Kluyveromyces lactis: one gene and its partner. The protein of the gene in region 2 binds, or shares a complex with, the protein of the main gene of each other region. Links are inferred from orthologs where the notes say so. Each region holds a gene or a part of one and is shown on either strand. Other genes may lie near its edges. The genes, in order: RAV2 and RAV1.

Region 1 (3,342 bases), on a different chromosome or scaffold from region 2:
CCTCGTAGCAAATACTGCTGAAGCTGCTTTACCACTTCTGTGAAGATAATACTAAAATCATGAAACTGAGAAAAGAATGGACTTAATTTCAATCACAATTATTTTAATTCACCACATAGAAAAGAGGTAAACAAACATTACGCAACATACACATGAAAACACAACACTTCACATAGATCGGCAGGATTGTAATTGGATAACGCACTGTGATAATTTGGCATTGTTATTTGAGCTGATTTGACACAATGGAAGAGGTACTTTCGGAGGGTGTAGATGCTTTAGCAGCATGTGTCGATGACATGGCGAAATGTTTAACCGTATCTAAGGTCACTACAGATAGAAGCACTAAACTTGCTATAAATATGCTACAAACTAAGAGGGTATTCCAGTTGGTATCAGAATATGATGTGCAGAGGGCCAGACTTGATTTGATGGAGGATATAGAACCATTGTTACAAAAACTATATAGTAAACTGGAAAAAGCTCTAACCAAATTGGAAAGGGAGCGGGCCACTCTATCACAAACATTCGAATTGAATAAACTACGATTCAACAATCAAGAAAGTAACCCCATCATAGATAATGTGAAATCGGATCCAGTTGTAATAGTATCCTCGACACATGAAGAATTGGAACGTCTCAAAGACTTAAAGAATCGTAAAGAAGAACTGATACAAAGAATACAGGAATTGCATGAAGAGAGATAAATAAGCATACGCCGACTCTCTATCTATCGCATTGTTAACTTAAATTTTGAATATTTACAAAGTGATTGCTGATTTTGTTTTCAAGCCCGTTCAACTTTGCACTGACACTAATCAATGTAGGATCGCTGGTGGTAATTGAAACTTTCTCGCATTCAGTGACAACTCGCCCGTTAAATGTCACACACCTAGCCAATAGATCGCTTGCTTGCGGAAGAGTGATTCTTTCAGTTGCTGAAAAACTGGATATCAAATTGTTTATCATAGATGTTTGTTCAACTTGCAAGCCTTCTTCCTTAAGGATCTCTGCGATTTTTCCATTTCTGTCTTGCTTCAGCCTGTCTCTGACTTTATCACTGAATGATAACCCAGTTTTCGAATCGATCTCACTCCAGGGTTTTTTAATGACTTTTGTCAAATTCCTAATGTCCAAGCAAATCTCGTTTTTGAATAGCACTAATTCCATATTGACCAAATGATGTGCTGATTCACAAATGTCATGAGATTCAGAGAAGTTGTCGTTTAAGAAGCTGTTGTTATTATGCGGAAAGACCAATTCTCGTGGAGGATTTTGTAATAATGTAATAGATTGTGTAAGTAACTCCAATATTTTCCCAATTTTATTGTGAAAAGTATGAATATCATCAAGTTTCATATCGTGTAATTCGGAAAGTTGCTGTAATTCGTCAAATAAGGACAATACGGATGATAAATTTGTAATTATGGCATTTATTTGAACTAAGGGAAATTGTTTATCAAGGTCCATCTTTAGAACTATTGGTTTACCCCTGCTAAAGTCTGGAAGCTTAATGATAGCCTGAAAATCCACTATAAATCCGGCCTGTCTAGTGATTGTCCCTTTAATCGATGTGCTGTCTGGCGCGGCACCTGATGTGTTAACGGAGACACTATTCCCATTGGTAAGAGGCATTCGAAATTTCTCAGGACTAGATAGTTGGTTTATGCATTTCTCAACATGGTCCATAACGTTAGGTAGCTCAGGCTTTATGATTTCTTTAATCAACCATGTCTGTTGTAACAAAGAGCTCTCCTCATATGTAGGAGCATTTTTATATGCCCCATCATTATATAATTCCGTAGTCATCTCGGATTTATGCAATTGAGAATTAATGTAGCAAAGCTCCCTTAGCGTGTAGATAGCAAGAGCCTTGCTAAGATGGGCGTTTTCCTTTGTCAACCTTTTTACTATTCTTTTGCCTTTTTCGTATGATGATTCTTCTGAATATTTCAAATTTAAACCTTTTCTTGAAGTTGATGCGACTCACCCACATATACTTTAACTAGAGATAAAGGAAGATCATTGAAAATTGTAAAGTGGTTGTAATTGAAATTGCTGGCGTGGATTAGGATCAAGGTTTACACAGATTCTAGATTTGACTCAATTGACGAGTTGTACTCCGGGACACAGCTTTTTATTATTAGGGAAAGTGTGCTATTAAACGCATCAGACGACGACCGCAAATGTTTACTGTAAGTAAGAAATCCTTACAAGCAAGTCGTAACGCTTTCAGTCCATTGAATAATAGCAAGAGAACAATCGTATTTACTGCAATAGCAGCTTTTGGAGACCTATTGATTGGGAAAGATGTTAGACTAGCAGATGCTATGGAGAAAGGGAATCTGCATAATAAAAATGGAGAGTATGAGCATAAGATGGAACAAAGGACTCAAGAAAGGTTAAATGCATTACGAAACACAAGACCGATAGAACCTAATTATGAGGGTCATGTTCCACTTTGGTGGTATGAGCGAATGATGCTCTTCGGTATCAGTGGTTTAAAATCTTATTTCCACCCGGAGAACGGTGAGAACATCGTTCAATTAGGAGAAGCTACTGCTCTACCTTGCTTTCTTGAAAGTTTAAAACGGACAATGTTGTTAGATAAGACTGGTAGAAGGATTCTACAAGACAGACCAAACATCACATCGGAAAGCCTTGACATGGAACGATTGTCAAAGATGGATAAAAATTCAGTTGGCTATACGTACTACAAATGGTTGATGAAAGAGGGGGTCTCTCCAGACACAAGGGCACCAGTTACTTATATCGATGATCCTGTCCATGCTTTCATATTTAAGAGATATAGACAATGCCATGACTTTTATCATGCAATAAATGACCTACCAATCATAATCGAAGGTGAGATTGCAGTTAAAGCATTTGAGGCATCAAACATTGGTGTCCCAATGGCTGCACTTGGTGCTCTATTAGCACCATTGAGATTAAAGAAAGTGCAAAAGGAAAGACTTTACTCCATCTACCTCCCATGGGCAGTCAAAGCAGGGCTGAATTGCAAACCTCTCATCAATGTCTATTGGGAAGAAATCTTGGATAAGGACATAGACGAACTAAGAAGAGAATTAAACGTCACACCACCTCCAGATTTGAGAAAAATTAGAAAGGAAAGAGCGAAACAAAGAAAACAGTTCAAGCTTAAGTATGAGACCTACGAGAAATGAATTTTAAACCCTCAATCCCCAAATCGTGATGGCTGGCGTAAAGTTGCTTTGTAAAGTATAATGCAGGGTCATTCTGTGGATATAGGAACCAGGAAAAAAGAAATAGAAATACGTACGTAATGAAATAAACGTCTTCAATTGAAGAGGAAAAAGATCG
Region 2 (4,444 bases):
ACAAAAAGAACGTCGCTGCATCCATATATCTGTGTTTACTGAGTAAGACAAATGCGTTTTTCAAGGCTGCTGATCTCCAACGAGGCTCTGCGAAGTCGTTGTTCAAAAATTTTAACATCTTTGCCTGTTCTGGATGACCAGAGCTGATGCGCCATAATCCAATTAAAATACTTTTCTTTTTAAGTGCCAGATAGAAGATTGAACATCTTGATGGATCTCTTTTATCATAATTGTTGAATTCAAATTTGGCTATATTCTCGAAACATTTCACGAGATCCTGCTGGCCTGCCCAATACGGAACTTTGAATTCTTTCACGTTATCCCATTTCTTTAATCTATTGAAAAGATTTGAAAAAAGAATCTCTTTATTGTCGGAATGAGTGGCCCAGCTGACATCTCTCATGTTGACACTTGTCTGTGTGCTCTTATGCGATGTGTACAATTTTACACCCAACATAAATCTAACACCATTTATGTCTACAACCTTCTCATTTAAATTTATCTCTTGAACAGCTTCGATCACAGAAATTAGGGTCACCTGTTGATGTCGAGTGAGATAGGGTAAAGGGGTCTTTGAAAGGAGATCAATAAGTGGAGCCGATACAGTCGAATCAAATGTGCTATATGGTTCTTCATAATTATCAAACACATACGTAGAATCGTTTGTATGAAGAAACTTGGAAGGACTTAATTTCAGTGATGATCCAATATCGTGAATCTCATCAGAGTTGAATTCCATCTTGCGCAGCGCATGGAAAAGCTTTAGGAGAATTTCTCTTACGAGGTTGACCTTTTTAGCAAATAAAGACTGGATCAACAGTTGTGGATGATATATTGGCAATGGACCATTCAATACACTAGTTAAATGCAAAATATCATTCGATAAGATTTTTCTAGAGCCAATTGAGCTGTACGTAAATTTGTCCTTCAAGTCTAGGCTTTTGTCCTTTATGAAAACTTGGTTGCCAGTGGCTATGATGATAGAACCATTCTTCAACCAGGTGGAGTCACCAATGGCATGTGTAGTGTGCTGTGAAACGTTGATTTTCTCAATTGGCAAGTAAGCAGGGTTTCTGTTCGTATAATCGTATCTTAGTTGCGTATAAAGAATGACATAATTTTCGAAACCAATGGCAACAATGCTTTGTTCAAATTCAGTGCTTGTCCAGTCAATATCAACAACCTCGTCATCAAAGGTAGTTTCGTACTCCAAGACACTCCTTCTCAAATCCCATAGAGTCATAGTCGTACCTTTTTCGTCAATTACAGATATCTTATCATTTGACGATCCCGTAATTTTCGAAGCATTAGTAATATTCGTAATGGTTTCATAACTCTTCTTCCACCTTATACCCGACTGATCAGCCTGTGCCTTATATATCCTTATTACTCCGAGTTTGGTAATTGAGGCAATCAATGATCTGTCACTTTGAAATTGATATCTCACCGGATCAATCGCGGACACAAGATAAAACTCTTCTTCTCCCTCCAAGTCAATAGAATTGCTATCTATCTGTTTCATGTCATCCTTCGTGAATACAAAGCCTTGGGAACTACCATCTGGATAAACATAAGCAAAAAAATGCTGATCATTGTGTGGCTTGTTTCCAGAAGTATTGACCATAATAGATGGGATCCCCTTCGTCTTATCTGCAGAGAAAGTGCTTTTAAGAATTGCTCTCTTCTCATTTGAAGAGCACACCCATAGTTGCACTTTGCAGTTTTCTAGAAAAGTTACCACCAGATTACCTCTGTCGTGGACTAAAGCATGTTTTATTGGCGATTCAGATATTAGCATTGCCTTTTTTGACAACGTAACCGAGTCCTTTAGTCTCAATGGAACCCAGATAGAATTTTCCTGGAACCTCGATGTTGTCAATATAGCAGAACCGTAGCTACTTCTAAAAACCTTTTGGATGGATTTTGTGTGTCCGGTCCATTTATGCTGTAGTATACCAATGGTTTCTGTTCCATTCAAAATTGATGAAATGTGTAGCAATGAATGCCTTACGCTTCCATGAAGATCATGAACAACAAAAGATATGCTTTTATCATCATCAAAAATCTGTGGTTCAGGGAAATGTACGAACTCTGGAGATGATCCCATTGCAGTATTAGATATTGAAGTTCTTAATAGATCTTTGACCGACATAATTTTCGGTACATCATCTGAAAGATTAGTCAATGCCAACACTCTAATTTTGAGACTGGGAGTGGTAAATAGAATAATTTCAGGTTTTTTTTCAAGAATATACTTGATCATTTCGCTTTGATGAGATTGGTCTTTGATGGTTTTTCTCAAGGTTTTTTGGATTAACCAGCTATCCAAAATAACACAAAATCTTTCGTTATTGGACTTTGACATCTCCACAGTTCCCCACTGCTGAACATTCTTCTTATTGTCAATATCAAAACTGATCCATACCCTCAACTTTCTATCTGCACATAAAGTGTAAATGACATGCGTAATATGTTCTTTATTGCATTGATGATCGTTTGTTTTCCACCTAAAGGTGGTCACAACATCTGGATGAGGGAGAATAACCAGATCAAAGAAATCTGAATCCGATGTTATTGACACTCGCCTCCAAATTTTCACTGTTCTATCGTTATAATTCATACTAGATATGAGTTTAGAATCAGAAGTTATTGAACAAAGATAAACTGGCAAAGGTTGTCTTTTACTCCATAATAGTCTAGGTTTGTACTCGCCAAAAACATCCTTTACATCCCAAAACGATAGGTAATCTGATCCCAATACTAATTCATTCCCCATACCCCATTGCAAGGTGTTGACGCGGGAATCATCATGGTACACTTTACAGCAGAATACCCATTTAGGGTTCTTCATGATTTGATGCAGCGGTTTGTAAATGTACACTTCCTGAGAAACAGCAACAGCAATGAGACCATTACGAGGATTAACATCGACAGCATGACAATCTGAATTCAAATATATTGTTTGAAGCCGCTCAGAACGATTGGAAAGCAATATTAGATTGTTACCAGAGCAGTATGCCAATATGGTATTATGGTTCCATGACCGCTGGCAAGCTGCTTGAGGAGTACTATTAGGCACACCGGGGAGGAAACTCAATGTCATTTACACCCAATTGTGCACACAGTTAATTTCAAATACCAGCTAACAGGGCAACAGCTTCAGAGACTTGGTGCTATGTAGTTACATAACATGCCCTTTCGGTCTGCGTAGAACATTTAACCTTAGTATTATTCATTTCCAAGTATAGTGCTTTCTATCGTCATTGTTAACGATTTCTGTATTTCCTGGAGACTAAGAAAGAACCTTTAATAAAAGATGTGATCATTGTGACAAAATACAGGTCATCGGTCTTTAATCCAAAGAAGTTCATGCTATATAGGAGCTACTAGAGGAATTTATTCAAGGGCTGGTAAGAATACTAATAATAGAAAAAGCTAATCATAAGCATATACCAAAAAAATGGGTGCCAGTTGTAACGATCAAAGGAAAGCTGTTGCTATCTGTTTGCAGAGATCGCCATGCGTGCTCATCGAAAGAAACACTCCTAAGCAGTGCATAGAAGATCCTAAGTTGAGTAAAGATCTACCAGAACTCTGTATGGCACAGATGAAAGCATTTTTGGATTGTAAGCGTGGTATTGTTGACATGACCAAAAGATTCAGAGGCAACGGTGCGTTATCTACGGGAAAGTACGATGAGCAATATGAAAAGCTATCTACCGGAGACTTCAACGCCAAGGAAGAGTATGAGAAGTTGAAGTTACTAGATAGTGCCAGCAAGAATTAAGGCATACAATCCCTTTTGCTATGCGTGTTTCTGTTCTTTCAATTCTCTTTTTTTACTTCAAAACATTTCATCATCAAATTGTCGCTCCTGCATAAAACTGGATAACTCACACCATATCTTGTAAATAATACTCTGCCGTGTGCTGCTCTTCTACAATCCAAATTCTAAACCCTTTTGTTAACGCATTGCCTCATTGAAATCGTCTTGTTCCAAGAATACCAAACTTGACTATACCCTTTCGGTTAATATATCTTTTAAGGAATGGCTATCTAGTAGGTTGTACGAAGCTATGCACAGATGTCATAAATTTACCACACAAGAAGATTGACATTAGGAAAACACTCGATTAATATACGTATCGGTATGCATATATTTAACTAATAGCCATATTTTCATTTCATACTCGCCTGCAAGAAAACCCGGAAATTGTCTCAGGTTAACCCGAGGGTTGTTAAGTTGAGATATATTGCAGTATGGAATAGAGTGACATGATAATATGCAAGTGCTATTTTCGTGAATAGGCTCCTAGTTCTGGGAAGGTTATATCAAAATATAAACACCTTACAAGCTCCTAGAGGTAGGTCGATTATTTCTGAAACTAAGTCCTCAACAATTATTAGGGCGTGTGGTCTAGTGGTATGATTCTCGCTTTGGGTT

Evidence for each region.
Region 1: RAV1 (region 2) and RAV2 share a complex: the UniProt entries of both Saccharomyces cerevisiae proteins name them as parts of the RAVE complex. The link is inferred for Kluyveromyces lactis from reciprocal best matches to the Saccharomyces cerevisiae genes RAV1 and RAV2.

The regions. Positions count from the first base shown.
Region 1 is NC_006040.1:1,586,148-1,589,489, forward strand, and holds RAV2 (Rav2p), read right to left. Parts: upstream 1,810-3,342; coding exon 742-1,809; downstream 1-741. Other genes in the region: SPC19 (Spc19p), read left to right, coding at 246-707; ubiquinone biosynthesis protein COQ4, read left to right, coding at 2,187-3,185. UniProt on the Saccharomyces cerevisiae protein: Component of the RAVE complex, which is required for stable assembly of the vacuolar ATPase complex V-ATPase under many conditions. May be required for transport between the early endosome and the late endosome/prevacuolar compartment (PVC).
Region 2 is NC_006041.1:2,021,768-2,026,211, reverse strand, and holds the start of RAV1 (Rav1p), read right to left. Parts: upstream 3,104-4,444; coding exon 1-3,103. Other genes in the region: PET191 (Pet191p), read left to right, coding at 3,461-3,787. UniProt on the Saccharomyces cerevisiae protein: Component of the RAVE complex, which is required for stable assembly of the vacuolar ATPase complex V-ATPase under many conditions.